Stegostoma tigrinum: one gene and its partner. The protein of the gene in region 1 interacts with the protein of each later gene in a biochemical or structural test. Links are inferred from orthologs where the notes say so. Each region holds a gene or a part of one and is shown on either strand. Other genes may lie near its edges. The genes, in order: pstpip1a and ptpn18.

Region 1 (15,634 bases):
GATCGACAACGTCTACGGCTCTTTCTTTATCAATCTTTTTGTCACCTCCTCAAAAAAAACTCAATAAGTGAGACATGATTTCCCATGCGCAATGCCATGTTGACAATCCCTAATCAATCCTTGCCTTTCCAAATATATGTAAATCTTGTCCCTCAGAACCCCCTCCAATAACTTACCCACCACTGACATAAGGCTGACCAATGTATAGTTCTCTGACTTTTCCTTACAGCCTTTCTTAAATAATGGCACCATATCAGCCAACCTCCAGTCTCCCGCACCTCACTGTAGTTATTGATGATACAAATATTTTAGCAAGGGGCCCAGCAACCTCTTCCCTAGCTTCCCACAAAGTGCTGGGACACGCCTCATCAGGTCCCAGGGATTTACCTACTTTATGCGTTTTAAGACCTCCAGCACCTACTCTACTGTAATATGAATTTTTTTCAAAACATCATTATTTATTTCCTGAAGTTCCCTTGCTTCAATATACTTCTCCACAGTAAATACTGATGTGAAATATGTGTTTAGTATCTCACCCATCTCCTGTCGTTCCATAGACAGACAGCCATGTTGATCTTTAAGGTGCCTTATTCTCTCCCTCATTTCTCTTTTGCTGTTAATATACTTACAGAATCTCTTTGAATTTTCCTTAGCTCTTGTTTGCCAAAGTTATCTCATGCCCCTTCTGATTTCTTTCTTGAGTATACTCCTACTGCCCTTATACTCCTTTAGGGATTCACTCAAATTCAGCTGTCTACACCTGACATATTCCTCCACCTTTTTCTTCACCAGAACCTCAATATCTCTAGTCATCCAGCATTCCCTACACCTACCACACTCTCAGGAACATACTGTCTCTCAACTTTCCTCATCTCATTTTTAAAGGCTTCCCACTTCCCAACTGTCCCTTTACCTGCATATGGCATCCTCCAATCAGGGATGTCTCATCCCCTATCTCCAATTTTTGAACGTTTCTGTCTGATACCAACAAAATTGGCTTTGCTCCAATTTAGAACTTTTACCTTTTTGATCAGTTCTGTCCTTTTCCATAACTATTTTAAAACTAATAGAATTACGATCACTTGCCACAAAATGCCTCCCCACTGATAGCTTGGTCACTAGCCCTGCCTTCTTTCTTCTTTCTTTCTTCTTTCCTCCCTACCCAACACGACTATGATCATCACAGTCTTTGTTTGGAAAGTTAAAATCCCATACCATTACAGCCTTCTTCTTACAAATATCTGACACCTCCTCACATATTTGCTTCTCAACTTCTGCTCACTATTTGGAGGGCCAATGATGCAATCTCAATAAGATAATCATCCCTTTCTCATTTCTCAGTTCCACCTGTATAACATCACTGGATGATCCCCCGACAAATATCCTTCCTCAGTTACATCCTTAATTAAAAACGCTACTGCCTTTCCTCTCTGATGAAGGGTCTAGGCCCGAAACGTCAGCTTTTGTGCTCCTGAGATGCTGCTTGGCCTGCTGTGTTCATCCAGATTCACACTTTGTTATCTTGGATTCTCCAGCATCTGCAGTCCCAATTATCCCTTTCCTCTCTTGCCTCCTTTTACTAACCTTCCTCCAGCATTTTTACCACACAACATTAAGCTGCCAGTTCTGTCCATCCCTGAGCCACGTGTCTAATAGCTATGATATCCCAGTCCCATGTTCCCAACTATGCCCTAAATTCATCTGCCTTACCTGTCAGGCCTCTTGCTTTGAAGTCAATGCAGTTTCAATTATCAGTCTTACCTCATTCTCTCCCAAGGTCTTGTCTGTCTCGACTATTTGACTTGTTCCCCTTATTTACTGTACCAGCCTTTTCTCTTTTCTCACCATTGCTTTGGTTCCTATCCCTCCCTTACTAGTTTAAAACCTCCGAGTAACACTAGCAAATCTCCCCTAAAGGATATTGATTCCCTTCCAATTCAGGTGGAACCTGTCTCTCTTATACAGGTCATTACTACCCAAAAATGTAAACCCTTGTCCCCTACACCAGCTCCTCAGCCGCACATTCATCTGCTCTATCCTCCTTTTACTACTCTCACTAGCACGTGGCACCAGGAATAGTCCAGATATTACTGCCTTCAAGGACTTTTTTTTAAAATCTCCTGCCTAATTTCCCATATTTGCTCTGCAGAACCTCATCCTTTTCCCTATCTATATCATCACCAACATGTACAATGACCTCCTGCTGGTCATTCTCCCCAAACAGAATATTCTACACCCATTCTGAGACATCCTTGATTTTGGCAACAGGGAGGCAACACACCATCCTACTGTCTCTGTGACGGTTGCAGAAATGTCTGTCCGTGATCCAGACTGAGATAGTCCCATGTCACAATCAATCGCTTGGGACCTGAAATACCCCTCATTGTAGAGCTAGTCACGGTATCAGAAATGTGGCTGCTAGTGCTCTACACCCCTGAAAAGCCAGCCCTCCTACAGTATCCAAAACAGCACATCTGTTAGAGATGGGGATAACCACAGGAGACTCCTATACTACCCAGCTATCAACCATCAACCCAACTGCATCTTCATAAATGGTGCCTGACCTGCTGGGTTGGTTCAGTAATTTCTGTTTTTCTTTTAAAGGACCACATATTTGGATTATTAACTGTAACGTAGCTTTTACTGAAATGAATATATAATAGTACAAACTAGACAAATAAATGATTAAATCTGCTGTCTTTTCCTCCTGTCAGCTTTCATTTTCTGTGCGGTATTTTGGAATACCAGAGAGGACAGCAATGATGGTGAACTGGTAGTTGGGCATTAAGTTATAAAGCAAAGTTCACCAAACTGAGATTGTTTTTATAGCAGATTGACTGCAAGGCATAGAATGTGTAACTTATAACAGAATATTATTGTTTGGCAGTCCCTCAGAACAATGACGGTACTTGCTCATGGCAAGAACCTGCCCATGGAGTATAGTAAGATGTGGATCCTGTAGTCAGCACACATAGTTCTGGCTAATCAGGAAACTCTCCTGCTCATATCACTTGCCGAGAGTTATGTTGGTAGGATTTATAGGCTGACAATCAATCTGTTTGGCCACGTTACAAATACAACTTTCATGGTCAACAAATTCTGGCATGGAACTCAACGTAAGTTTCTGGCCCAGAGGCAACAAACACTGTCAGTGTGCCTCAAGATCACTGGCCTGCAAAGTGAAACTGTCGTAATTGGTGAACACATTCAGTATATTGTTCTTCTTAAATCATACTCTGAACAGGAGAGGTGATGGCCTAGTGGTTTTGTCACTGGACAGTTAATTTAGACACTCAGATAATGTTCTGGGGACCTGGATTCGAATCCTGCCATGGCAGCTGGTGGAATTTGAATCCAATAAAATATCTGACATTAAGAATCTAATGATAACTGTGAATCAATTGTCAGGAAAAAGTCCATCTGCTTTGCTGATGTCATTTAGGGAAGGAAAATGCCATCCTTACCTGGTCTGGCCTACATGTGACTCCAAAGCCATTGCAATGTGGTTGAGTCTTAACTGCCCTCTGGGCAATTAGGGATGGCAATAAATGCTGCCTGGCCAGTGATGCCCTCATCCCACGAATGAATAAAAAAAGATTTGCATTTATTAGGCACCTTATCACATCTCCAGGAAAACTTTCCATAGTATCAAAACAATTGTTTTACTTTAAATACAATAATTGTTATATAGATAAATATAAAAGCCATCTTTTGTACATAACAACAAGTCACCACAAACTAATGGATGAAAAGCCAGTTGAACGTCACGTGCCTGGGTAGGTGGCATCTTCAACAATATTCGAGAAGCTTAATGGCGTTGAGGACAAAGTAGTCCCTAGATTGGCACCCTATTCACCACCTTGAACATTAATAATTTGATACATGGTAGAGTATACCATCTACAAGATGCACTGCAACAACTCACCAAATCTCTTTAGATATCACCTTTCAACCTCACAACCTCTATCATGTAGAATGGCAAGGGCAGCAGAAACATGGGAACACCACAACCTGCAAGTTCTCCCCCACGAAGCCACACATCATCCTGACTAGGAATTAGATAACTGTCACTGTGTCAGAATTATTCAACTCTTCCACTAGCAAAAATGTGTGTACACCTATGCACCACAGACTGCTTTGGTTCAAGGAGGCAGCCCACCAGCATCTTCTCAAGAACATTTAGGATGGGCAATAATTGTTGACCCAGCCAGTGCTGCCCAGGTCCCATGAACAAATAAAGTATCAGGTGAGGCAATGGCCTGGACTGTTGATTCAGAGACCCACATAATGTTCTGGGGATCTGGGTTCGAATCCCACCATGGCAGATGGTGGAATTTGAATTCAATAAATATCTGGAATTAAGAATTTAGTGATGACCATGAATCCGTTGTCAATTGTTGGGGGAAAACCCATCTGGTTCACTAATGTCCTTTAGGAAAGGAAACTGCCATCTTACCTGGTCTGGCCTACATGTGACTCCAGACCCACAGCACACCAGCAATGTGGTTGACTCTTAACTGCCCTGTAGGCAATAAATGCTGCGTAACCAGTGACACTCTTATCCTGTGAATAAATTTTTTAAAAGAACTATTGAAGGCTAAGGGCTAGGATGTTCTTTGAAGACTGTCACTGAATCATCCATGTCCACGTGATAGTGACCTCAACATTTCATCTCAACAATCACACCCCGAATCAATCAACACTTACTTCGTGCTGCACAGAAGTGACAGCCTCAATTATGTCCTCAAGTCCCACAGTGTGGCTTGAATCTAGTAACATGTGAATACTGTACCAACCGGACAAGCTGACATTGAATTTAAAAATATTTCTGCTTTCAGAAATAATAGGAGACGAGCTGACAGCAGCTAGATTTTTCAGTTGATTATCCTGACATCATATTGGATTAAAACCTGGGGTAATTGGTTCAGGAAGTGACTAGTATACAACTTCTTTGAAAATGTGTCTTCAAGTGTGGAACTTGTCTGCAGCATCCATTGCTTCTAGCCACATGAAAATAAGTTGTCAGATGTGTTACTTAATGCAGACTAGGCTCAAAACACAATATCCTGGCTGCAGAATGCTAAAGATGCAAGTCGTGTTGCAAAGTTTTCTCTTCCTTTCTGTACTGACTGTTTTATTTTATCATTATAGAGGCTGTCAATAATTAAACTATGACTGTTGTGAACCATGGGAAATTTTATATTGGCCTGCTTAACAACAGTAAATCCAGGAGGTGCTGAATGTTTAACCCCAATTCATTACAAATAACTTCCACATCTAAAATGCGCAGATCTGCAATTGTTTTTTTTTGCAAAACGTCTGCAACAGCCAATGAGAACAGCTTGTACTCTGGAGAGTGGGTGTGAAAGGGAGAGAAGGCCTGCATCAGTTAAAACCTTGTGGAAACTTTTATTCAGGGTGTGTGGTTAACACTGACAAGGTTTTATTAATTGTCCACTTCTGGTAGTTCTGAAACAGTAATGGATCTTGTCCTTGAATCACTGCAGTTGTTATCCAATGTTACTGCTGCAATGGTGTTGGTTGTTACCATCTAGTAGGGTCTGACAGGGCTATTTGATAAGAGGTGAAACTGAGGAACAGATGATGGTTAGTTTTTATTCATTCATGGAAATGTGAGCTTTGCTTGCTGGGCCAGCAATTATTGCCTATCCCTAGTTGCCCTTGAGAAGATCAATCTTTTTAGTATACATACACCCACAATGCCCTTAGGAAAGGAGTTCCACGATTTTGATTGAGTGACAGTGAAGGATCAGCAATATATTTCTAAGTCAAGATGGTGTGAAACCCGGAGGGGAACTTGCTGGTGATGGTGTTCCCAGTTTACTGCTGCCTTTGTCCATATAGCTACAAGTATTGCTGATGTTTAGCGTAGGATTTGGAGACAGTAAGAACTGCAGAGGCTGGAAGCTACAGTCAATAAATGAGGAGCTGGAAAATGTGGTGCTTTTCCAGCGCCACATTTTTTGACTTTAGGATAGGGTTGACAGACTATTTATTTGTCAAGAGTTTGGTTATCCTGTTTGGGTGTGGAGAGACACCAGAAGTGGTTCCCCTTTCTGATCCTGAAGACAAAATACTGCCTCCCACTCTCATCATCAAGCATAGCAGTCTTTGCTGATTCTACCATCACGGCTCAGACCTTCAATATAGTTATAATGGGCTATAGTCTAGTCTTTCGCAACAAAGTGAGCACAAGGTTCTTTTTAAACTTAATTTGATGACAGTTACTTTGTGAATGATGAACAAAGTCAAGGTGATATTTTACCAATGGTCACAATCCCATAAAAGAAACATCACATCCATGTTCCCTCTATATCCAGGCCATATAGAAAAGCACAAAGTCATGATGAACCCTTATAAAACACTCTTTCAGCCTCAGTCAGAGCATCTTGTCCAAACCCGGGCACTGGACCTCCCAAAGGATGTGAAAGCTTTAGAAAGAGTGTGAAAATAAATTTTGTAAGAATAGTTCCAGGGATGATGGACCTGGACAGATTGTCAAAGCTGACAGCTCTTCTCCTTAGAAAAGGAGACACTAAAGGGGGATTTGATTGCGCTGTTCAAAATCACCAGACAGTGTAAGACAGAGAAACTGCTTCGCGAGGAGAAGAGTCAAGAACCAGTTGGGAACGATATTGGGTGATCGGATAAAGAAGGTCAGCAAGACAGAGAAAAAATATTTTTACACAGCCAATGGTAAGGATCTCAATACTCAGCTTCCTGCTGTCATCATTCAGCATAGCAGTCTATCAAAGCCCTGACAGGGTGATGAGGGCAGACTCAATCATGGCTTTCCAAAGACAATTGGATAAGAATTATGGCATGGTGGCTCAGTGGTTAGCACTGATGAGCCTCACAGTTCCAGGATTGCAGGTTTGATTCCAGCCTCAGGCAATTGTCTGTGTGGAGTTTGCACATTCTCCCAGTGTCTGCATGGGTTTTCTCTGGGTGCTGTGGTTTCTTCCCAAAGTCCAAAAATGTGCAGGTTAGGTGGATTGGCCAGGCTAAATTATCTATTGTGTCCAATGATGTGAAGGCGAGGTGAGTTACCTCATGGTAAATGTGAGGTTATAGGGATAAGGTGGGGGCGGGGGGGCTCTGGTTGGGATGCTCCTCTTTGGAGGGTTGGTGTGACCTAATGGGCCAAATGTCCTCTTTCTGCACTATAGGGATTATATGATAACCTGAAGGGGAAGTACTGGCACAGCCAAGTGGGAAATACCTGAATCATTCAAACAGAGAGCCAACATGGATGAGAGGCTGAATGGCCTCTAGGATGATGTGATGTTAAGACTGCTTTGCCATGAGTGGTGTCAGGAAGTGTCTCACTGATTTTAAGTGACCACTGATCAAAGCACAACTAGATGGGGATTGCAACAGCTCTGGAAATCTTTAGAGACGGATAAAAGTGGAGAGGGCACCGAACTCGATGTTGGCAAGAAGCAAGACGCTCAGATGCCAAAACAACCTTACAGACTATGAGATGAGCTGAGATAAGACACGTGATCTTGACTTGCCATAAAAAAAAGGATAAATGCAGTGGTAGTGTTCCTACCTCTGAGTCAGAGGGTGCAGGTTCAAGTCCCACCTCTTGTGGAAGCGCATTACAATAGGTCCAAGCAAGTTCTTTTCAAAACCATTAAAGGCTTTTATGGTAGTGTCCCTGCCTCTGAGCCAGAAGGCCTGGTTTCAAGCCCCAACTGCTCCAGAAGTGTCTCAGGAGCACAAAAGCTGACGTTTCGGGCCTAGACCCCCATCTGATGAAGGGTCTAGGCCCGAAACGTCAGCTTTTGTGCTCCTGAGATGCTGCTTGGCCTGCTGTGTTCATCCAGCCTCACATTTTATTATCTTGGATTCTCCAGCATCTGCAGTTCCCATTATCTCTGCTCCAGAAGTGTATCATCTGAGTAGGGTTGTGAAATTTATATACCAGTACGTGGTTACGGGAATTAAGGTTGCTAATAAAATAAACTGCTTTTGGAACTGTGAATGCAGCCTGAACTGCAGCATTATGTACATCACAAAAATCGCCAACTTACAACTCAAGAAAGAGTTCTCTCTCCCCTGAGCTCCATTTATCCCAGTGAACCCTTTCTCTGTGCTGTAGGAAGTCGTGATCTCGGCTAATGATTCTCAACGACGTTGACAGCTGTTTTCACCTTACCTCCTCATAGACACCTTTTTACATATAAAAATAAATTTGTTACAGCATATCTTTTGCATCCAGCACTCCAAGAATCTCGAAATAAATTGCCTCACGCTGCGCGTTGTCGGTTTCTGAACTCTCTGGAGTGTTGCTGAAACTCTTCACGTGTTAATTGCGGTTACTTCTGACATCACTTGAGTGAACAAAAACCCCCTTCCTTGTTCTCTCTTCGTGCAGGTTGCTACCAACAAGAGTGCTCGAACTGGACGGTCAAATCCCGTTGGAGGTCGCGATTTAGTTAAAAAGCGAGAAAACAAAACCTACGCCAAAGATCCCATCCTTGAAGCAACACTGACCAGAGACGGTCATATCAACTCCACCGGGAAGTTTCATTTTGTTTTTGCTCCTGTCCGCTATGACTCGACTGCGCTTTAAGGATGCTTTCTGGGTGAGTAGCTTTCACGTTCAGTGAAGTGAAACCCTTTATACGGGTTGCACAAGTTAACAATGGACCAATTTCAGCTCAGTTATTTTGTTTTATTTTAAATTTCGTTTCAGACAACATCAAAACCTTCTAACTTGTAATGCGAGGCCATTTGGCTGCGTTAAAGTACAGGGCTTGAATTCAGTGTTCAGTGACAGCCAATATTTAATCCTGAAAATTAATTCGTCTCAAGGGTTTAGTTCATACTTGCACCGTTAAACAAAGAAGCTTCGTTTCTGTTGCACTGGGTTGACTTTTTTTATTTGCGGATCTAATTTCTGACATCACACAACTTTGCATTGCTGTTAATGTTACAAACTGCCGTTGACTCTCTCTGGGTGATCGATAGCCACGTTCAGTTGATCCGAGTGAATCTGAACCCTTAGTTTAGTGAACTGCAAATCTCACTGGGCATTTAGAAATGTCATTTGCTCTCCTGTGCATCGAATATAAACCCCTGCTTGTGTCTTATGAGCCTCTTGGGTACATCTGCAGTTGAGTCGTGCATTGTGACTCCAATTATGGAACGTGTGTTATCGGAAGGGTAGATCCTTTCTTCAGAAATGCAGCTCAGCACCACGCCCGCCCAGAACCACCACTCCCCCCCCCCCCCCCACTACTGGTACGTGGTGATTGTGAGCACTTCTGAGAGAGTGTATGCAGTTAGTGAAAACTGGTGTCGACCTATCTCATTCGCTCAAGAGTAATGTAGGCCAGGATTTACTACCCACCGCTATCTGCCCTGGAGAAGGTGGTATTAAGATGCCTTCTACAACCACTACGGTGTTTGGGATGTAGGGACTCCCACTGTGCTGTTCGAAAGGAAGTTCCAGGAATTTGACCCAAACGTCCTTTTGTCTTTTACACTTCACAGAGTCCTCCATTTATTGTCTATTTCTCCTCTACTCCTCCATGCATCACCTCACCATTGACTTTCATTTCCTCTGTCCACCTGACCCTCATCAATAATTTCTTTTGGTCTTCTCCTTTCTATTCACTATCAACCATATGCTCAATTTTTTTGTACTATCTCTAAATGTTTTAACCATGTCAGCTACAATTTAGCTGAGTTCAGGTTGATTGCCTGTAATTGCTCAGTCTGCCCCTTTTTTTTAAACATTGGTCCTCCAAGACCTTGTCTGTAGATGGAGAGGATTGGAACATGATGATCAGAGTCTCAGCTGTTTCTTCTTTTGTTTCTGTTAACAGTTGCCATCATCCTGGCCTTGGAAATGTATCTACATTCTAAAATGCAAAACCCTTTAGTGTTTTTCATCATGTTTATTCCAACCAATATATACACATACCTCCTCTTTTAAACAGAGTCTGAACTGTGCCACCACACTCCTTGCTTTATGAAGACAAAAGGATGGAATTTTGTTCTCTTCTAGATCTAGACTGGGTGGTGGGGGCTTGATTAATCAGTCAGGATATTTACAGGATGGATGTTCTATTACATCCCCAAATCATGCCTCACCCCCCCCCCCCCCCCCCACTCTGATTTAATGCAGGGTAAGTGGCATAAGGCTCACCTTCTTTCCCAGAAAACAACTGAGATCCTTAATTGACTACCTAGGACCTCATTCCACCACTTCTGGCACGCCACCAGCATTGGGCAGAGCGTCTATACCATGCAGGCAAGCCAGTGAAGATCCCCGGGCTGCCCTATCATAAACACAAACCCACCAAACACCACCCACAAACCAGGTTCTCCCTGTCTGGTGCCAGTGAGCCTACCCCTTCCTTGTGGGTTCCGTTGTTAATTCCTCTTCTGCCTGAGCATCATGCAATACCACTTCTTGGGATTCCAGAACTAGGGGACATCGTGTGAGAATTAAGGCCAGAATATTCAAGAGAGACGGTAGGTACAAAGGATGGTAGATGTTTGAAATTCTAATTGACAAAGAACAGAAAATACTGGATCGATGATCATTTTCAAATTTGAGATTTTTTTGCTGAGCAAATTTTTTAAGAGATATGGGCCAAAGGATAGGAAGCTAGGCCACAGATCTGCCATGATCTAACTGGCTGGTTGAACAGGCTTGAGGGGCTGAATGGCCTACTCCTGTTCCTAGGGGACCTGCTAGCCTCTAGTTGGCTAGAAGCTCTGGGCAGCGGGATATCCACCCATCCACTAAGGGGTGGGAAGCCTTGGTGGCAGGTTCCTGCTGCAAGTTAGGCACCCTATCCCATCCAGATTCTTGGGTGGGGTTTGCCACTGGTTTTTGTTTAGGAGGTTAGGACTCCTGCACCTTGTATTACATTCTTTCCAAAACATTTGTTAAGAACCATGTTCATGGTTTCCTCCTCTTACACAAGTTACTGTTTTTTTTTCTCCAAAAGTCACTTTTTCCTTGGTTATCTTGTTGTGATTTTACGTATTTAGTTTAGAAAAACGTCATCGAGACTTTGTTGATGTACTTGCCAATTTTTTATACCCTCTGTTTGGTTTCCTGATCTCATTTTTTGAATTCACTTCTTGACCTGTCTGCACTTCACTGCGTTTCTGCAATTTTGAGTTTTCTGAACCTGACAGAAGCTTCCCTTTTTATTGCCTTAACAACTTCAACCATATTTTAGCATCAATGAAACTTGTCACTGTCTTTCTTTGCATTTTGAACAATGTATCTCCTCCTTAAGTGCCTCCCACTACAATGACACTGCAATTACCGTCAATTTACTCTTTCCAGTCTGCTTTTGCTAAATCATGTATCTACTTAGCAAAATTGGCCTTCACACAGTTAAATTTTTTTTTACTCCTAGTCCATCCACGTCCTTATCCGTTTCAACACTGAATCTAACAGACTTATCATCACGATGACGAAAACTGCTCAACTGATACATGTGCCATCTGTTCAACTTTGCTTCCTAAAACAAGGCCAGAAACTGTTCCTTCTTTCATTGAGCTTGTAATATACTTATTGGCTTAAAAGAAAATTGCCTGAATGCATTTTAAGAATTCTGGCCACTTGTTTTTTTTATGTTACTTTTAATATTAATCAAATAGAATTAATTGAATCTCAAACTTTAAACCAATTTTTCCTTTCAAGGCTGAAAACCCAAGTTTCCTTTGTATCCCTCCATAACAATCTCTTGATCTGGGTGCAAAAGATGCATACCTTTTATCTTAACAAATGTTGGTGAGATTCTGGAATTGTTAAACTGAATATTTTAAGCATTATTTTACACAGGACGTGGGTATTGTTGGCACAGCTAAGAAATCAGCTTCCTCACAACAGAACAGATTCCTAGGGAACCTATTTCAGAGGAGATTAATCTATTACTGATAGCAGGAGAGGCCAGACCCAATTAAGAAAATGAGATTTCCTTCTGTAATGAATATTAATGAATTAAGATATGTTTTAAAGGCAGTCTGGTAATTTCATGATCATTATTACTCAATCTGTTTATTCCAAATCTATTAAATGAATTTAACATTGCAGGATTTTAAGTCCAGAGCACTGGATTGCTAGACCTATGATGAGATAAGGTTTTAAAATTGAATCATGAGACGTGGAAGAAAATGGCTAGGCCAGTATTTAATGCACGTTCCTCATTGCCGTAGAGAAGTTGTGGTGAGCTGCCTCCTTGAACTGCTGCAGTCCACATGATGTAGGGACATTCACGATACTGTTAGGCAGGAAGATCTGGGATTTTCACGCAGCAGCAGCAAAGGAGCTGCAATATCATTCCAAGCAGTGAGGGAAGTCATTGGTCAGGGACCTGCTTCTGGCTTAGACTGATGAGCTGAGCACAGTGGGCCCCTTAGAGCCCTGAGTCTTGGTTATTGAGCCTTGATGTAAGGCGTGTTGAGCCCTGGCTGCAAGGCAGCTTGATGTGTGACTTGGAGGGCAACTTCCAGGTGGTGATGCTCCCATGTATCTGCCTTGTTGGTCTCATAGTTAGAGGTTGTTAGTTTGGAAGGTGATATCTGAATAGCCTGGGTGAGTTGCTGCAGAGTACCTTTAGATAGTACATTCAGCTGCCACATTGCATCAGTGGTGGTATTCTGAATTATGAACACCAGTGCACGATAGGCTTCTCAAACCAAAAGTCCTTTATTCAACTTATCATTCGTCGGGGTCTGAGCGCTAACCTGACAAAGTCAAACACGTTTTTACTTGTGTCAAAAATAAGGTTGGGAAATATTAAATTATGTGGGGAAGATAGGCATGGAGCCTGTACATGTGAGAAAATGGGTCTGCTCTGCTAGAGAAAATCCAACAAGACATGAGAAAGCACCGCCATTGTGGGTGGAGGAGGATGTCATCAAAATCACGTTTTTGAAGTCAACGTTGAGTTGTAGAACTCATTTTTTTTAGACACATTTTCACACATATCATTTCATATCCCTATCCCTCCTTCACAGCCATTAGTATTCTTTTTTTTTCCCTCTGGGCATCCTCACCATCTGTTCTTCTTACTCTTGCCCCTCTATCAACAACATAGAACATGGCATGTTCCAGTTCTGAATAAGTCACATTGCACTTGAAACATTAACTCTGTTTCTCTGTCCATAGATGCTGTCAATCCTGCTGAGTTTCCCCAGCATTTCCGATTTTTATTTAGCATTTCACTAATGATGTAAATCAAACAATGTTAGAGAGGCAAAGAAAACCCAAGAATCTTGACTTTCAAAGCAAAATGATAGAATACACAGTAGGTCAGTCTATGTACAAAAAAAAGTTACTCTTTCTAATGTGACCTTCAAGTCTGCTGAAATTATCCATCTGATAAAGGGATCTTAGAACATAGAACAGGTCGCCAAATTAAACTAATCCTTTCTGCCTGCCTTTAGTCCATATCCCTCCATTCTTTGCATTTTTATGTGCTTATATAAAAGTCCCTTAAACACCTCTATTGTATTAGTCTCCACCACCAACTGGCAGCGCATTCCAGACTCCTTGCACTCTGTGTAAAAGAAAACTTGCCCCTCGCATCTGCTTCGAACTTGCCCCTCTCACTTTAAATGCATGCTCCTGGCATTAAACGATTCTACTCTGGGAAATAGTCTTAAGACTCATGATCATAAAATAAGTTTCTTTTCTGATGTTGAATAACATATTGTGCATTTTCAGAAGTTTCTGGTTTCGAACAGCATTAATACCTACCAAAGTGCTGCAAATATTGGAAATCATTAATGAAAATGAAACTGTTGAATGTGCTGGACAGACCTGGTAGCATCTGTGTGGGGAGAGAGAAGAGAGACCAAGTTCCTTAACTCTCATTCTCTCCCTGAAGCTAACAGATTTGCTGAGCCTTTTCATTTTTAATACATCTTAGTTCTTTTGTCGCAAGTTGAATTCCTGAATGATTTCAATATTTTGATACACTAAGGAAATTAGAATAGTGCACTTGGAGGAAAGATAATTTAAAAGAGGTTTAGGGAACACAAATGGTGAAAAAGTGTTTTGGTTGGCTGTTGACTCCCGAGGCAACTGAGAGACTTCAGTAGTGATAGGCATGATCTCAAATAGAGAAGGGAATTTGATTAATGCAAACAGTCTAAAAATAGCAAAATAATTATAGCACCATTACTTTATCGTCAGTGCTCACATTATCAAGCTCACTAATCTTCAAGCGAGCTCTCCGGTGCCTCATTTAACATTTGACTCTACAATGCCATTAATTAGTGACATCTTTAACTCTGAATTGCAACATTAATGTATATGTTCCACACTCCAGAGCTGAGCATTAATATCCAGTGTAATTTAGACTAACATTATTCGAGTTATTATTGCCTGAATTGTGTTGTTTGCAAGCTCAGTGGATGTTTATAAGTTACTGGCTATTTGTTATTCGTGGAATCTGGCTGCATGTCTGGTTGCAGAGCAACATTTCAAAAGTAAGATAGTAAAATGTGAGGCTGGATGAACACAGCAGGCCCAGCAGCATCTCAGGAGCACAAAAGCTGACGTTTTGGGCCTAGACCCTTCGTCAGAGAGGGGGACGCGGTGAGGGTTCTGGAATAAATAGGGAGAGACGGGGAGGTGGACAAAAGATGGAGAGAAAAGAAGATAGGTAGGGAGGGGATAGGGCAGTCCAGGGAAGACGGACAAGTCAAGGAGGTGGGATGAGGTTAGTAGTTAGGAAATGGAGGTGCAGCTTGGGGTGGGAGGAAGGGATGGGTGAGAGGAAGAACAGGTTAGGGAAGCAGAGACAGGTTGGACTGGTTTTGGGATGCAGTGGGTGGGGGGGATGAACTGGGCTGGTTTTGGGATGGGGTGGGGGAAGGGGAGATTTTGAAGCTGGTGAAGTCCACATTGATACCATTGGGCTGCAGGGTTCCCAAGTGGAATATGAGTTGCTGTTCCTGCAACCTTCGGGTGGCATCATTGTGGCACTGCAGGAGGCCCATGATGGACATGTCATCCAAAGAATGGGAGGGGGAGTGGAAATGGTTCGCGGCTGGGAGGTGCAGTTGTTTATTGTGAACTGAGCGGAGGTGTTCTGCAAAGCGGTCCCCAAGCCTCCGCTTGGTTTCCCCAATGTAGAGTAAGCCACACTGGGTACAGTGGATGCAGTATACCACATTGGCAGATGTGCAGGTGAACCCCTGCTTAATATAGAAAGTCATCTTGGGGCCTGGGATAGAGGTGAGGGAGGAGGTGTGGGGACAAGTGTAGCATTTCCTGCGGTTGCAGGGGAAGGTGCCGGGTGTGGTGGGGTTGGAGGGCAGTGTGGAGCGAACAAGGGAGTCATGGAGAGAGTGGTCTCTCCAGAAAGCAGACAAGGGTGGGGATGGAAAAATGTCTTGGGTGGTGGGGTCGGATTGTAGATGGCGGAAGTGTCGAAGGATGATGCGTTGTATCCGGAGGTTGGTGGGGTGGTGTGTGAGAACGAGAGGGATCCTCTTTTTGGGCGGTTGTGGCGGGGGCGGGCTGTGAGGGATGTGTTGCGGGAAATGTGGGAGACGCAGTCAAGGGCGTTCTCGACCACTGTGGGGGGGAAAGTTGTGGTCCTTGAAGAACTTGGACATCTGG
Region 2 (14,805 bases), on another chromosome or scaffold:
CCTGGTGTACTGGGGGAGCTGCCGGTGGTTGTCTGGGATGTCCAGTGGCTTGTACATGAAGTGCCGGAGCTCAGAGAGGCCCAGCCTGGAGGCCCCGGCCCCGGCGGCTGCCCTCTGCGCGGCCTGGATGGCGGCCAGCAATCCCTGGGCCCTCAGGCCCTCCTCGATCCTCCTCTTGCAGGCAGCCACGCTGTAGAAGGCGGCCTGGTCGGTGGAGAGCAGCAGCAGGCAGACGCCGTGCGCAGGGTCCAGGTAGGAAACGTAGGCGTAGAAGTAGCTGTCTGGGTAAAGCCGCGGCAGGCAGACCGGGGTCCAGAGCTCTCCCGCCTGCGGGGGCGCCGACGAGCCTGCCAGCAGGTTGAAGAGGAGGTGCAGGTCGGTCCGGGTGCAGCCTCGTGTCCTCCAGGACCGCCCGTTCCTGGACCAGGCTGACCAGCCTGCCCGAGCCAGCAGGATGGAGAACACCAGGTTTGGGGTGACGGCTCGCAGCAGGAGGTAGCTCACGGCTTCGCGCAGGGAGGGAGCCAGGGGCAGGCACTGCACGGCGCCGAGCAGGAAGCCGGGGTCCGTGTCCAGGCGCCTCAGTAGGCTGTCCAGGATGCGCTCGGAGCCAGCCAGCAGGCGCCGCAGGTCGTAGTTCTTCTTGCGCTGGAAGATACGGGTGACGGTGGCCTGGGTCAGCAGGCTGATGATCTGGTAGTAGACGTAGCACAGCTCCCGGCGCAACTGTGCCGGCGACTGGGGGCTCCGGGAGACCGACACCAGCACCAGGGGGCCGTGCTGGCTAAACACCACCTTGTAGTCGTCTGAAAGGCAGAGGGGGGGGGTCACTACTGGGCGTGACAGACACGGGGAGGAGGGGGTGACGCCGGAGGGTCAGCCCCGGGGGAGGGGGGAGGGGAAAGAGGAGGGCTCGCCGCCGGAGGGTCAGCGCTGAGGTGGGGGGGGTTGGGGAGGGGAGAAGAGGAGTAGGGGCGCTGCCGGAGGGTCAGCGCCGAGGTGGGGGGATTGGGGAGGGGGGGGGAGGAGTAGGGGGCGCTGCCGAGGGTCAGCGCCGAGGTGGGGTGGGGAGGAGCTTCAGAGCTCTCCTGCTGGAAAGCCCCTGGCCAGACTGGAGCCAGCGTTACAACCTGACCATCCCGAGCGGGCTCCCAAATGCAATGGGAACATGGTCCTCTTGACCTGTCCCCCTGCCTCCCTCCAAAACACTGTCGCAACAAGCTTGCGATGTCCAGAGCTGAAATCTCCGGGCGGTTCGATAGCAAGGAGAGGCCCAGGTCAATAGAGGAAGTGGTCAAGTTAATCTGGTCACACAGTACAGTGACCAAGGCACCGAAACTGTCGCACAGCGCTGCTCAGGGGACCTCATCATCAAATCCTGGCCCCCCTCTCTTCCCAGTACAGAAAACACCAGGATAGAGAGATTGAGATAGAGGGACAGAGAGCCTCGAATATAACCCCTCGATCCCCCCCTTCCTGATTAAACATCTCTCTCTCTCAGCCTCGAATATAACCCCTCGATCCCCCCCCTTCCTGATTAAACATCTCTCTCTCTCAGCCTCGAATATAACCCCTCGATCCCCCCCCCTTCCTGATTAAACATCTCTCTCTCTCAGCCTCGAATATAACCCCTCGATCCCCCCCCTTCCTGATTAAACATCTCTCTCTCTCTCTCAGCCTCGAATATAACCCCTCGATCTCCCCTCTTCCTGATTAAACATCTCTCTCTCTCTCAGCCTCGAATATAACCCCTCGATCCCCCCCCTTCCTGATTAAACATCTCTCTCTCTCAGCATTGAATATAACCTCTGGATCCCCCCACTTCCTGATTTAAAATCTCAGTCTCGACTGACCCAGCCCCGACAGCCCTCTGCAGTGAAGAATTGCACAGATTCACTCCCCTTGGAGGGAAGGAATTCCTTCCGATCTCTTGTCTTCAATGCGTGACCACACCTCCCCCTTAATCTGAGATGATGCCCCCTCAGATCCTAGATTCTCCCACACAAAGGGTAGAATCAGGGAGAGTTGGGGCGGGAGGGGGGGGGGGGGTGGGCGGGGGAGGTGACTGAAAAATTGTCCTCGACCTGCAGCAAACATTATTCAGAAACATTCCCGAACCCCCTCGATCAGATTCCAGTCTGTAACTCCCTCCCCGAGGTGGGGGGGGGGGTATCTGTTATTCTGTATATAAACCCCCCCGAACCCCCTCGATCAGATTCCAGTCTGTAACTCCCTCCCCGGAGGGGGCGGGTATCTGTTATTCCCTGTATACCACCCTATTGTGCCAGGGTTAGTGTGGGGCCTCTCCTACCTGACTGGATGGAGCGAATGGTGTTATCTCCGTCCTGTACGAACGAGACCAGGGCCATCATGACCCCCATGGTGGAGGAGAGAGCCTCCTCATTGCCATAGCGGGAGTAGATAGGCTTTCCTGCCTCACTCAGGACGAAGACATGCTTGCGGTGGGCTCGCCAGGCCTCGGCAGTAACGTCCTCGCTCCGGGGGCAGGGGGCCCGGCCCGGACTCCCTGCTCCGCCGCTCCCCAGCAGGGCGGGCTGTGCCGGGAAATTGGCCGGATCTTCTGCCGCATTCCCGGTCGAGCTGGTGTCAGAGAGCTCCTTCTCGCTGTCCTCCTCCTCGTCCAGGAGGGTCACCGGGAGCGCGACCCCCTGCCAGCTGCGGCCAGCCCCGTCGGCGCCCGGGGTTGGGGGATCCTCACCTGCGGAAGGTGGGGTGGGAGGGAGACAGAGAAACAGCTCACTTTCAATCCGGGAACCGTACACCATTCAGCCCCTCCTCCACCAGCCTGCTACACTGAGACAGCAGGCCATTCAGCCCCTCCTCCTCCAGCCTGCTACACTGAGACAGGAGGCCATTCAGCCCCTCCTCCTCCAGCCTGCTACACAGAGACAGGAGGCCATTCAGCTCCTCCAGCCTGCTACACAGAGACAGGAGGCCATTCAGCCCCTCCTCCTCCAGCCTGCTACACTGAGCCAGGAGACCATTCAGCCCCTCCTGCACCAGCCTGCTACACAGAGCCAGGAGGCCATTCAGCCCCTCCTGCACCAGCCTGCTACACAGAGACAGGAGGCCATTCAGCCCCTCCTCCACCAGCCTGCTACACAGAGACAGGAGGCCATTCTGCTCCTCCAGCCTGCTACACTGAGCCAGGAGGCCATTCAGCCCCTCCTCCTCCAGCCTGCTACACTGAGCCAGGAGGCCATTTAGCCCCTCCTCCACCAGCCTGCTACACAGAGACAGGAAGCCATTCAGCTCCTCCAGCCTGCTACACTGAGCCAGGAGGCCATTCAGCCCCTCCTCCTCCAGCCTGCTACACTGAGCCAGGAGGCCATTCAGCCCCTCCTCCACCAGCCTGCTACACAGAGACAGGAGGCCATTCTGCTCCTCCAGCCTGCTACACTGAGCCAGGAGGCCATTCAGCCCCTCCTCCTCCAGCCTGCTACACTGAGCCAGGAGGCCATTTAGCCCCTCCTCCTCCAGGTTGCTACACAGAGACAGGAGGCCATTCAGCCCCTCCTCCTCCAGCCTGCTACACAGAGACAGGAGGCCATTCAGCCCACCTCTTCCTCAAGCCTGTTACACAGAGACAGGAGGCCATTCTTCCTTCAGCCTGTTACACAGAGACAGGAGGCCATTCAGCCCACCTCTTCCTCCAGCCTGTTACGCTGAGACAGGAGGCCTTTCAGCCCACCTCCTCTTCCAGCCTGTTATATAGGAACAGGAGGCCATTTAGCCCCTCTGAACCCTCAAGCCTGCTACACAGGACCATGAGACCATTTGTCCCCTCCCCCTCGGGGGTGGGTGGTGGTGGAAGAGGTGTGACAGAGCTGGGGCCATGCTTTGCACACGGGGAGATCGCGGCACAGTGAGAGCTGTTACCTGGAGACACAGCCTGCTCATCCCCTCCCATCATCACCTCCTCTCCGAGCGGCAAAGGGCTGACTCGCTCCACGCTCATCCTGTGACCCCTTGCAGTGGGTCAAGCTGGGTCACGGCTGGCAGCATCCCAACGCCAGGCTGTGGGGCTGGAACGAAGAAGTAGGCCATCAGGGACGAGACCCTGCACTCTCAGATATCACCCACCCACACCCACGCTTCCCTGCCAACTCAGACACTATCTGGGGCTTAGCTCCCGCGCCATCCTGCGTTGTCGGAGGGTCCGAGGCGGACAATGTTTGGGGCCCAGGGCACGACCCTGAGGAACTCCTGCAGAAATGTCCTGGAGCTGAGATGACTGACCTCGATCAACCACAACCATCTTCCTATGTGCCAGCTATGACCCCAACCAGCAGAGAGTTTGCCCCGCCACCCCGATGCCACACTCGGTCGAATGCAGCCTTGACCTCAAACTCAAGGACTCAGCACTTCTTTCTGTCCACGTTTGAACAAGGCTGGAATGAGGTCAGGAGCTGGGCAGTCACCGAGCAAGTTACTGTTTGATAGCGCTGTTAGTGAGACCTTCCATCACCTTAGTGGTGATTGAGAGGAGACCATTGGGGCGGTAATCGGCCGGGTTGGATATGTCCTGCTTTTTGTTTACAGGGCTTACTTGGGCAATTTTCCAGGTAGATGCCAGTGTTGTAACCGGACTGGAACAGCTCGGCTATGGGACCGGCAAGTTCTGGAGCACAAGTCTTCAGTACTACTGCAGGAATGTCGTCAGGGCCCATGGCCTTTACAGTATCCAGTGTCTCCAACTGTTTCTTGATATCAAATTGGCTGGAGACCGGGATACCCAGGCACATTGCAAGGGGCCGGGTTTGGGGGGGGGGGGGGGGGGGGGGGGTGAGCGCACATAAAATACCACAGTCGCTGGAATTCTGAAATGGACAGAGGATGCTGGAGAAACTCAGCAGGTCTGACAGCATCTGTCGACACACACAGACTCACAATTTTGAGTCCGCTCCTGGGATTGATGCAGAGGTCTCTCCCTGGTGTCCAAGCCCCCTTTAAGTCGTCATTGGACAAGCATATGGACGTACATGGAATAGTGTAGGTTAGATGGGCTTGAGGTCGGTATGACAGGTCGGCACAACTTCGAGGGCCGGAGGGCCTGTACTGTGCTGTAATGTTCTATGTTCTATGTGTATCCCTGCAAACACACCAGAGCCTGCAACACGTCGGGGGGGAGGCTACAGGCAAACTGGCCATTGCCCTTCCCCTGCCAACAAGGAGACTTTTACATGCACAGCAAGCTCCCGCATGCTACAGTTTGAAGACCCGACTGGTCAGTCTGGTCTTTCTTTGGAAAGCAACATCGGTGGTGTACACAGAGCCCCAGTCACACGTATTCGCTGTTACCACCCTCGGAGACAGACAGCACCCTGACCAAAACCGTGACGTGAGACAGTGCTCTGCTACACTCCTACAAGTTTATCGGCCAATTCAGCCCATCAAGTCTGCTCCCCCATTCAGTAAGATCATGACTGAGTTGATCACCACCCTCAAATCTGCTCTCCCGCCATTTCCCCATAACTCCTCGATTCCCCCTTCCTGCTTAAACATCTCTCTCTCTCAGCCTCAAATATAACCCCTCGATCCCCCCCCTTCCTGATTAAACATCTCTCTCTCTCAGCATTGAATATAACCCCTCGATCCCCCCCACTTCCTGATTAAACATCTCAGCCTCGAGCGACACAGCACCGACAGCCCTCTGCGGTGAGGAATTGCACAGACTCACTCCCCTTGGAGGGAGGAAAGTCCTCCCCATCTCTGCCCTCAATGGGCGACCCACCCACGTCCCCACCTTACTCTGAGAACGATGCCCGCTCTGGTCCTAGACTCTCCCACACAAAGCGTGGAAACGATCCCTCCGTATCTCCCCTGTCAGGCTCTCCCCCTCCCCACCCTGGCAGCCTTTTCTGTTTCAATAAGATCACCCCCTCACTCACCTAAACTCCACCTGACGTACTCAACCTCTCCCTCAGGAGGCAGCCCCTCCATCCCCCGGATTGGCCAATGAGCCTCCTCTCAACTGCAGTCTGTCTTTACTCAGACAATTGGGGCCCAGAACCGTTCACAGTAAACCAGCTGTGGTCTGGCTCTTTGCTTCGTACAGTTTTAGCACGAAACCCCTAAGTTTGTACTCTATTCCCTTAGAGAGACAAATCGATAGTCAGCCTGAACTTAGATGTTAGTTTTTTTTTGGAGATTTGTGCACGAGGACTCGCAAATCCCTCTGTTCCAAAGCTTTCCACATTTAAATAATATTCAACTCCTCTGTTCTTCCTGCTTAGGGTGCATTCCCCACCCGTCTCTGTAGTGCAGCAGCTGCTCGGTTACTGGCCCAGTGCAAATGGAAATTTGCTCTCAACTTTTGCTTTAACCTGTGGTTCTGGTTGTGCAGACTGCCCTCAGCACTCAAGCCTCCCCCCCCCCCACCACCCGCCCCACTATTTTTGGGCGCGCCTGCCTGCATCTCGGAAGCAACGAGGCGCAGGTCAAAGGACTGACGTGGCGGGTTTTTAAAAATAGGTGAGGTGAGACGAAGCGACAGGGGACGCGGGCCTGGTCTCTATCTCCCCCGCCGAGACGGGCAGGCTGGTGGTGAGGTGCAATGCGATCACCGTCTGCACTTTGGGGCCGAACAGGCTCTGCTAGGCGCACAGGAGGAGAAAGAAACATACAAGCTGCTCGGTTATTTATAACTGCGACCGCATCAGTTTACAGACTTGGGAGAATGTGGCTGGTGGAGGGGCGATATTACCAGGAGGCAGTCCTTGTTGGTGGTGGGAGCAGACAGGTCAGACCCCGGCAGACGTTGGGATACAAATCCTGAGGGATGCTGGAGAAACTCAGCAGGGCTGGCAGTCCCCTGGATGGAGGGGTGAGGGGGATTGTGGATGTGGAGGAGAGAAATGGACTTGTCTCGGGCCTGGTATCACTGTTAGACTGCCTCACCCTCACTGCACATGCACAATGACTCTCAACCTCACCTTGTACACACAAGCAAGGACTCATTCCAACATCACGTGCACACGCACGCCCCCATCCTCCTCCCACCCTGATACGCAGACAGATGCACCGCTCTCCCGTGTATAGAGATACACACGCATGGCCACCATATACGCACCTCATCCCCCCTCATGCACACTTCCCCACATCCACGTGTGCAGTCACAACACACACACACACACTCCATATATATGCAATCCCCCTATACATGACCACCCCCCAATGTACACACAGGTCCTATACACAGGTCAGTCCCGTACGCAGCCCCAAATACACAGGTCGGTCCCGTATGCAGCCCCAGTACACACGCACATTCCACATACAACTCCAAACACACCCACCCTCCATATACACGACAGTCCCATTCACTGCCCCAAATACACCCGCCCACCCCGCCTCCATACACACCCGCCACCCCCCCCGCCTCCATACACACCCGCCACCCCCCCCGCCTCCATACACACCCGCCACCCCGCCTCCATATACACGCTGGTCCCATTCACTGCCCCAAATACACGCCCCTCCCCCCCCCCAAATACACGCCCCTCCCCCCCCCAAATACACGCCCCTCCCCCCCCAAATACACGCCCCTCCCCCCCCAAATACACGCCCCTCCCCCCCAGTACACGCCCCTCCCCCCCCAAATACACGCCCCTCCCCCCCAGTACACGCCCCTCCCCCCCAGTACACGCCCCTCCCCCCCCCAAATACACGCCCCTCCCCCCCCCCAAATACACGCCCCTCCCCCCCCCCCCCAAATACACGCCCCTCCCCCCCCAAATACACGCCCCTCTCCCCCCAAATACACGCCCCTCCCCCCCCCAAATACACGCCCCTCCCCCCCCAAATACACGCCCCTCCCCCCCCCAAATACACGCCCCTCCCCCCCCCAAATACACGCCCCTCCCCCCCCCCCAAATACACGCCCCTCCCCCCCCCCAAATACACGCCCCTCCCCCCCCCCAAATACACGCCCCTCCCCCCCCCCAAATACACGCCCCACCCCCCTAAATACACGCCGGTCCCATACACAACCCCAAATACACCCCACCCCCAACGTACGTCCTACATACGCCCCGTACACACCCCATAATTACATACCCTGACACAGAGGCAGAGGCAGAGGCAGAGGCTCCCCTCCCAACCTCACACCTTCCCTGTTCCCTCCGCTCACCTCCCGGCCTCCCCCAGTGTCAGCTTCTGGGACCCGGTATCAGGGGGAGCCCCCACTTCTCCCCCTGTCCCTGGGGCCTGATCCCTGTTTCTCTCACCTTCCGCTGCCGGCCCTGACTGACGTTGACGCCGACCAATCCGAGCGGCCGCCTCCTCCGCACCTCTCCACCCTGCCCCGCCTCCTTCGCCGGGTTTCTCCAATCCGAACCCGACCAGGCGCCGTCTCCGCCTTCGAATGGCTGCCCCGTCACCCAATCAGCGGGAAACGCTCACGTCGGAACCAATGGCAGCTCCAGTGGTTGAGGAAGCCTACTCGGATTGGTCAAGCGCTCACAGCCATTTAGACTGCTACCCGCCCCCTTCACGCATCGAACCAATGGGAGGGCGGGTCAGAAAAAAGACGTGACATTTAACCATTCAGCAGTCAGGCTTGTTGTCCGCCTTCCCCCATCTTAGGCCAATGGAAGACAAAGATTCTCCAAAGGACACACCATTTCACCAATAAAAAGGCAGCATGGAAATCCCGCCTCCATCTCTGACCAATAGTGGGTACCCAATTACTGATGGACGCGGCTCCTAACCAATCGAAGGGTGGAGATTCTATCCTCCCCGTCCCGCCCCTCCGTCGACCCACACGATGGGCGCGGCTTCCCTCCAACAGCCGCCGGGCTTATGTCACGCCCCTTCCAAATCGAGCCACTGGGGTGAGGGCCTGCGCTCTGACGGACGTGGATTCCGACCAGTAGGCGCTGGCGTGGGCGGAGCCGCGCCCTGGAGGTGTGTCAAGGAGACCCCGATGGGCAGGGGCTTCGGTCCAATCAGGTGCCGTGCCCGCGGGGGGCGGGAGAGCGAGAGAGATCGCAGTTAGAGAGAGAGAGTTCAAACTGCAAATACGGAGTTATCAGAGAGAGAGAGAAAAAGGGGGAAAGTAGTCATTGTGAGGGTAAAATTAGTCAAACAGACAGAGGGGGGCAAAGAAGTGAAAGAGAGAGAGAGAGAAAAAAGGGGGGGAAGTGAGAAAGAGAAAACAGTGAAGGGGGAAGAGAAAGAGGAGAAAAAAGTGAAGGAAAGAGAAAGAAAAAAGTGAGGTGGAGAGAGAGAAAACAGTGAAGGAGAGAGAGAAAATAGTCAAGGAGGAAGAGAAAGAGGAGAAAAAGGTGAAGGAAATAGAAAGAAAAAAAAACAGTGAGAGAAGAAGAGAGAGAAAATAGTCAAGGAGGAAGAGAAAGAGGAGAAAAAGGTGAAGGAAATAGAAAGAAAAAAGTGAGGTGGAGAGAGAGAAAACAGTAAAGGAGAGAGAGAAAATAGTCAAGGAGGAAGAGAAAGAGGAGAAGAAGGTGAAGGAAATAGAAAGAAAAAACCTTGAGAGAAGAAGAGAGAGAAAATAGTCAAGGAGGAAGAGAAAGAGGAGAAGAAAGTGAAGGAAAGACGTGGGGGGGACGAAGAGGGAGAAAATAGTGAGGCATAGAAAGGAAAAGTAGTGAAGGAAGGAAGAGATGGGGAAAAAGTGAAGGAAAGAGAGAGAGAGAGAGAAATTAGAGAAGTAGAGAAAGGTGGAAAAGAGGGAGAAAATAGTGGGTCGGAGAAAGGGAAAGTCGTGAAGGAGGGAGAAAATTGTGAATGTGGAAGAGATGGAAAAAAAGTGAAGGGGAGAGAGAGAGAGAGAAAATATTGAAGTGGAGAGAAGGGTAGAAAGCGAAAGAGAGAAGGAAACAAGTGAAAGACAGAGATAAGATAGTGACAGAAAAAGAGAGGAAAAATGGTGAGACAGAGAGTGGGGCGAAAGTGAGTGAAAGAGAGAAAGTAGTGAAGGGAAAAGAGTCAGGGAGAGAAAACAGTGAAGGAGAGAGAGTTTAAATTGGAAATAGATAATAGAGTTGTCAGAGAGGCAGAGGAATATAAAGTGGAAATATATAAAGTAGAGTTATCAGAGAGAAAATAGTGAATAAGAGAAAGTTAATAGTAAAAGGGAGAAAGCGTGCATTGGGAAATATGTAAGTATAGAGTTATCACACAGAGGGAGAGGAAGAGAAAATAGTGAGGGAGACGGTTTAAACTGGAAATAGACTGTACGAGTGAACACAGACAGACAGAGAGAGAGAGAAGAGAATGGTGTAGAAAAAAGTGAGGAGGGAGCAAATAGTGTGACATTGTGAGGAAGTAGTGAGAAAATTAAATAGATAGAGAGACAGTGTCGGTGAAAACAGAGAGGCAGAATGGAGTGTGATTGAAAGCAGCGAGAGAGAAAACCGATTTTGAATAGAGTTGGAGAAACTGAGAAGTCAAGCAGACAGTGGGTCAACAGTGCGCGTGAGAGAGAATCGAGGGAGAGGTAACGGTGAGGGAGTGGCCTGGAGAGAGAGAGAGAGAGAGAGATAGAGAGAATCGTTGTGGAGGGAGTGTTGGGCAGGAAGGACAGAGAGTAGCTTGAGGGAGATGGTCTGGAGATAACGGATTATTCAGAGCGAGAGAGAGAGAGAGAGAGAGAAGATCTTGGGAGAATGAGAGGACCCAGGGCTGTGTGAGTGTCGGATAAAGTTGGGCAGCAGTCAGAGGCCAGAGAGCGGTTGCAGTGCGGGCTGCGAGACGGGGTGAGGTGGAGCGCCGTGACCCATGGAGGAGATACTGAGAGGGTTCCTGCAGCACCTCGCTGAGCTGGAGAAGGCGGATGGAGACGAGAGCGGATTCAGCAAGGAATTCAGTGTAAGCCTGGGCCGCGGTACCGCTGGCAGGGTGTGGGTCCCAGCTCGCTCGCTGGATGGTGTCGGGTTCGGAATGGTCTCTGCTACCCCCCCCCCACCCCCAACCCCACCCCCACCTCACCTCACTAGCTCTGGGGAGGTGCGGGAGAAACCCGTGGTGATCATCTGTGAGTAAGGTAATAGGTGGAAGGGCTGAGTGGCCTGCGTCAGTGAGTCTGCACATCCTGGTCGATCGGATCTCAGTGAGCAAGGGTCACAGCTCCCCAGGCAGAATGTACAATGACCTCTGCCCCTCCCACTCCCTTTCCCAACACTCCTAGCCCCCCAGCATTTTCTCGTACACCTACAGGGGTCAGCCCTTGCTCAGCTCCCTCAGCCATGGTGAAGATGGCAAAACTGGACTAAGAGCCTGTAAACTGCAGCTCTAGTCATTACTTCAGCTGTTAAACATGGCAATTTGTGTGTGTGTGTGTGTGTATACGTGCATGTGTGCGCATGCGCCACTTGTCTATGTGTGTGTGTGTGTCTCCCTGTGAGAGTGTGTATGTGTGGATGCATGTCTCCGTGTCTGTGTGTGTGCACATGCATGTGACTGCCTGTCTATCTTTCATATCAGTCTCTGACTGTCTGTCCGACTGTGTGTCTGAGTGACAGCGTGACTATCTGACTGTGTCTGTGCTGTCTGACTGTGCCTGGCTGTATTTGTGTGTGTGCGACTGTGTGTCTGTGTCTGTCTGACTGTGTGTCCATATGTCTGTGTGACTGTCGGTGTCCTGTCTGTCTGCCTCGGTTGCTAGCTGTGTCTGTGTGAGTTTGTATGGCTGTTTGATAATGTGTGTCTGTGTGACTTTCTGACTGACCGTGTGTCTGCCTGACTGTGTGTATCTGTGTGACTTGCTAACTATGTGTGTCTGTGAGAGAGACTGCGCGACTCTGACTGTGTGTGTGTGTGAGAGAGAGTGTGTGTGTGTGTGTGTGTGTGTGTGTGTGTGTGTGTGTGTGAGAGAGAGAGCGACAGTCTGTGTGACTCTGTGACTGTGTATGAGAGAGAGAGACTGCGTGACTCTGTGATTGTGTGTGCGCGCGCGCACCTGTGTGTGTGTGTGTGTGTGTGAGAGAGAGAGACTGCGTGACTGTGTGCGCGCGAGAGACTGTCTGCGCGACTGTGACTGTGCGCGTGCGAGAGACCATCTGCACGACTGTGACTGTGCGCGCGCGAGAGACCGTCTGCGCGACTGTGACTGTATGTGAGCGCGAGAGACTCCGCGACTGTGTGTGTATGTGAGAGACTGTCTGCGCGGCTCTGTGACTGTGTGTGTGAGTGTGTCTGTGTGTGCGTGCGCGCGAGAGAGAGACTGTGTAACTGTGACTGCGTGTGTGAGAGAGAGACTGTCTGTGCCACTGTGACTGTGTGTGTGTGAGAGAGAGACTGTCTTCGCAGCTCTGTGACTGTGTGTGTGTATGTGAGAGACTGCGCGGCTCTGTGACTGTGTGTTTGAGTGTGTCTGTGTGTGCGTGCGCGAGAGAGAGAATGTGTAACTGTGACTGTGTGTATGAGAGACTGTCTGTGCCACTGTGACCGTGTGCGCGTGAGAGAGAGACTGTCTGTGCCACTGTGCCACTGTGACTGTGTATGCGTGCGCGCGAGAGACTGTCTGTGCCACTGTGACTGTGTGTGCGCGCAAGAGAGACTGTCTGCACGTAGCTGTGAAGTGTGTGTGTGCGCAAGAGACTGTCTGCACGGCTCTGTGACTGTGTGTGTGTCTCTGTGTGTCCGTGCGCGAGAGACTGTCTGTGCCACTGTGACGGTGTGTGTGAGAGAGAGAGAGAGACTGCCTGTGTGACTGTGTCTGTGTGAGAGAGAGAGAGACTGTCTGTGCCACTGTGACTGTGTGAGAGAGAGACTGTCTGTGCCACTGTGACTGTGTGTGTGTGAGAGAGACTGCGCGGCTCTGTGACTGTGTGTGTGTATGTGAGAGACTGCACGGCTCTGCGATTGTGTGTGTGTTTCGGTGTGTGCGTGCGCGAGAGAGAGACTATGTAACTGTGACTGTGTGTTTGAGAGAGAGACTGTCTGTGCTAGTGTGACTGCGTGTGTGAGAGAGAGAGACTGTCTGTGTAACTGTGGCTGTGTGTGTGTGTGAGAGAGAGCGACAGTCTGTGTGACTGTGTATGAGAGAGAGAGACTGCGTGACTCTAACTGTGTGTGTGTGAGAGAGACTGTGTGACTCTGTGATTGTGTGTGTGTGTGTGCGTGAGAGAGAGAAAGAGAGAGAGACTGCGTGTCTGTGCGCGCGCGAGACACTGTCTGCGCGACGGTGACTGTGCGCGCACGAGAGACTGTGCGACGGTGACTGTGCGCGCGCGAGAGACTGTCTGCGCGACGGTGACTGCGCGCGCGAGAGACTGACGGCGCGACTGACTGTCTGCACCACTGTGCGCGCGCGACTGTCTGTCTGCACCACTGTGCGCGCGCGACTGTCTGTCTGCACCACTGTGCGCGCGCGACTGTCTGTCTGCACCACTGTGCGCGCGCGACTGTCTGTCTGCACCACTGTGCGCGCGCGACTGTCTGTCTGCACCACTGTGCGCGCGCGACTGTCTGTCTGCACCACTGTGCGCGCGCGACTGTCTGTCTGCACCACTGTGCGCGCGCGACTGTCTGTCTGCACCACTGTGCGCGCGCGACTGTCTGTCTGCACCACTGTGCGCGCGCGACTGTCTGTCTGCACCACTGTGCGCGCGCGACTGTCTGTCTGCACCACTGTGCGCGCGCGACTGTCTGTCTGCACCACCGTGACTGTGCGCGCGTGAGACACTGTCTGCGCGACTGACTGCACCACTGCGCGCACGCGAGAGACTGTGTGCGCGCGTGAGACACTGTCTGCGCGACTGTCTGCACCACTGCGCGCGCGCGAGAGACTGTCTGCGCCACCGTGACCGTGCGCGCGCGAGAGACTGTCTGCGCCACCGTGACCGTGGGCGCGCGAGAGAGAGACTGTCTGCGCCACCGTGACCGTGGGCGCGCGAGAGAGAGACTGTCTGCGCCACCGTGACCGTGGGCGCGCGAGAGAGAGACTGTCTGCGCCACCGTGACCGTGGGCGCGCGAGAGAGAGACTGTCTGCGCCACCGTGACCGTGGGCGCGCGAGAGAGAGACTGTCTGCGCCACCGTGACCGTGGGCGCGCGAGAGAGAGACTGTCTGCGCCACCGTGACCGTGGGCGCGCGAGAGAGAGACTGTCTGCGCCACCGTGACCGTGGGCGCGCGAGAGAGAGACTGTCTGCGCCACCGTGACCGTGGGCGCGCGAGAGAGAGACTGTCTGCGCCACCGTGACCGTGGGCGCGCGAGAGAGAGACTGTCTGCGCCACCGTGACCGTGGGCGAGCGAGAGAGAGACTGTCTGCGCCACCGTGACCGTGGGCGCGCGAGAGAGAGACTGTCTGCGCCACCGTGACCGTGGGCGCGCGAGAGAGAGACTGTCTGCGCCACCGTGACCGTGGGCGCGCGAGAGAGAGACTGTCTGCGCCACCGTGACCGTGGGCGCGCGAGAGAGAGACTGTCTGCGCCACCGTGACCGTGGGCGCGCGAGAGAGAGACTGTCTGCGCCACCGTGACCGTGGGCGCGCGAGAGAGAGACTGTCTGCGCCACCGTGACCGTGGGCGCGCGAGAGAGAGACTGTCTGCGCCACCGTGACCGTGGGCGCGCGAGAGAGAGACTGTCTGCGCCACCGTGACCGTGGGCGCGCGAGAGAGAGACTGTCTGCGCCACCGTGACCGTGGGCGCGCGAGAGAGAGACTGTCTGCGCCACCGTGACCGTGGGCGCGCGAGAGAGAGACTGTCTGCGCCACCGTGACCGTGGGCGCGCGAGAGAGAGACTGTCTGCGCCACCGTGACCGTGGGCGCGCGAGAGAGAGACTGTCTGCGCCACCGTGACCGTGGGCGCGCGAGAGAG

The links.
Region 2: the proteins of pstpip1a (region 1) and ptpn18 form a complex in vitro, tested with the Homo sapiens proteins (2 studies listed by BioGRID and IntAct). The link is inferred for Stegostoma tigrinum from reciprocal best matches to the Homo sapiens genes PSTPIP1 and PTPN18.

What each region holds. Positions count from the first base shown.
Region 1 is NC_081389.1:19,786,277-19,801,910, forward strand, and holds the start of pstpip1a (proline-serine-threonine phosphatase-interacting protein 1a), read left to right. Parts: upstream 1-8,366; 5' UTR 8,367-8,582; coding exon 8,583-8,615; intron 8,616-10,414; exon of another isoform or gene 10,415-10,512; intron 10,513-15,634. UniProt on the Homo sapiens protein: Involved in regulation of the actin cytoskeleton. May regulate WAS actin-bundling activity. Bridges the interaction between ABL1 and PTPN18 leading to ABL1 dephosphorylation.
Region 2 is NC_081402.1:2,185,912-2,200,716, forward strand, and holds the start of ptpn18 (tyrosine-protein phosphatase non-receptor type 18), read left to right. Parts: upstream 1-8,992; 5' UTR 8,993-10,761; coding exon 10,762-10,851; intron 10,852-14,805. UniProt on the Homo sapiens protein: Differentially dephosphorylate autophosphorylated tyrosine kinases which are known to be overexpressed in tumor tissues.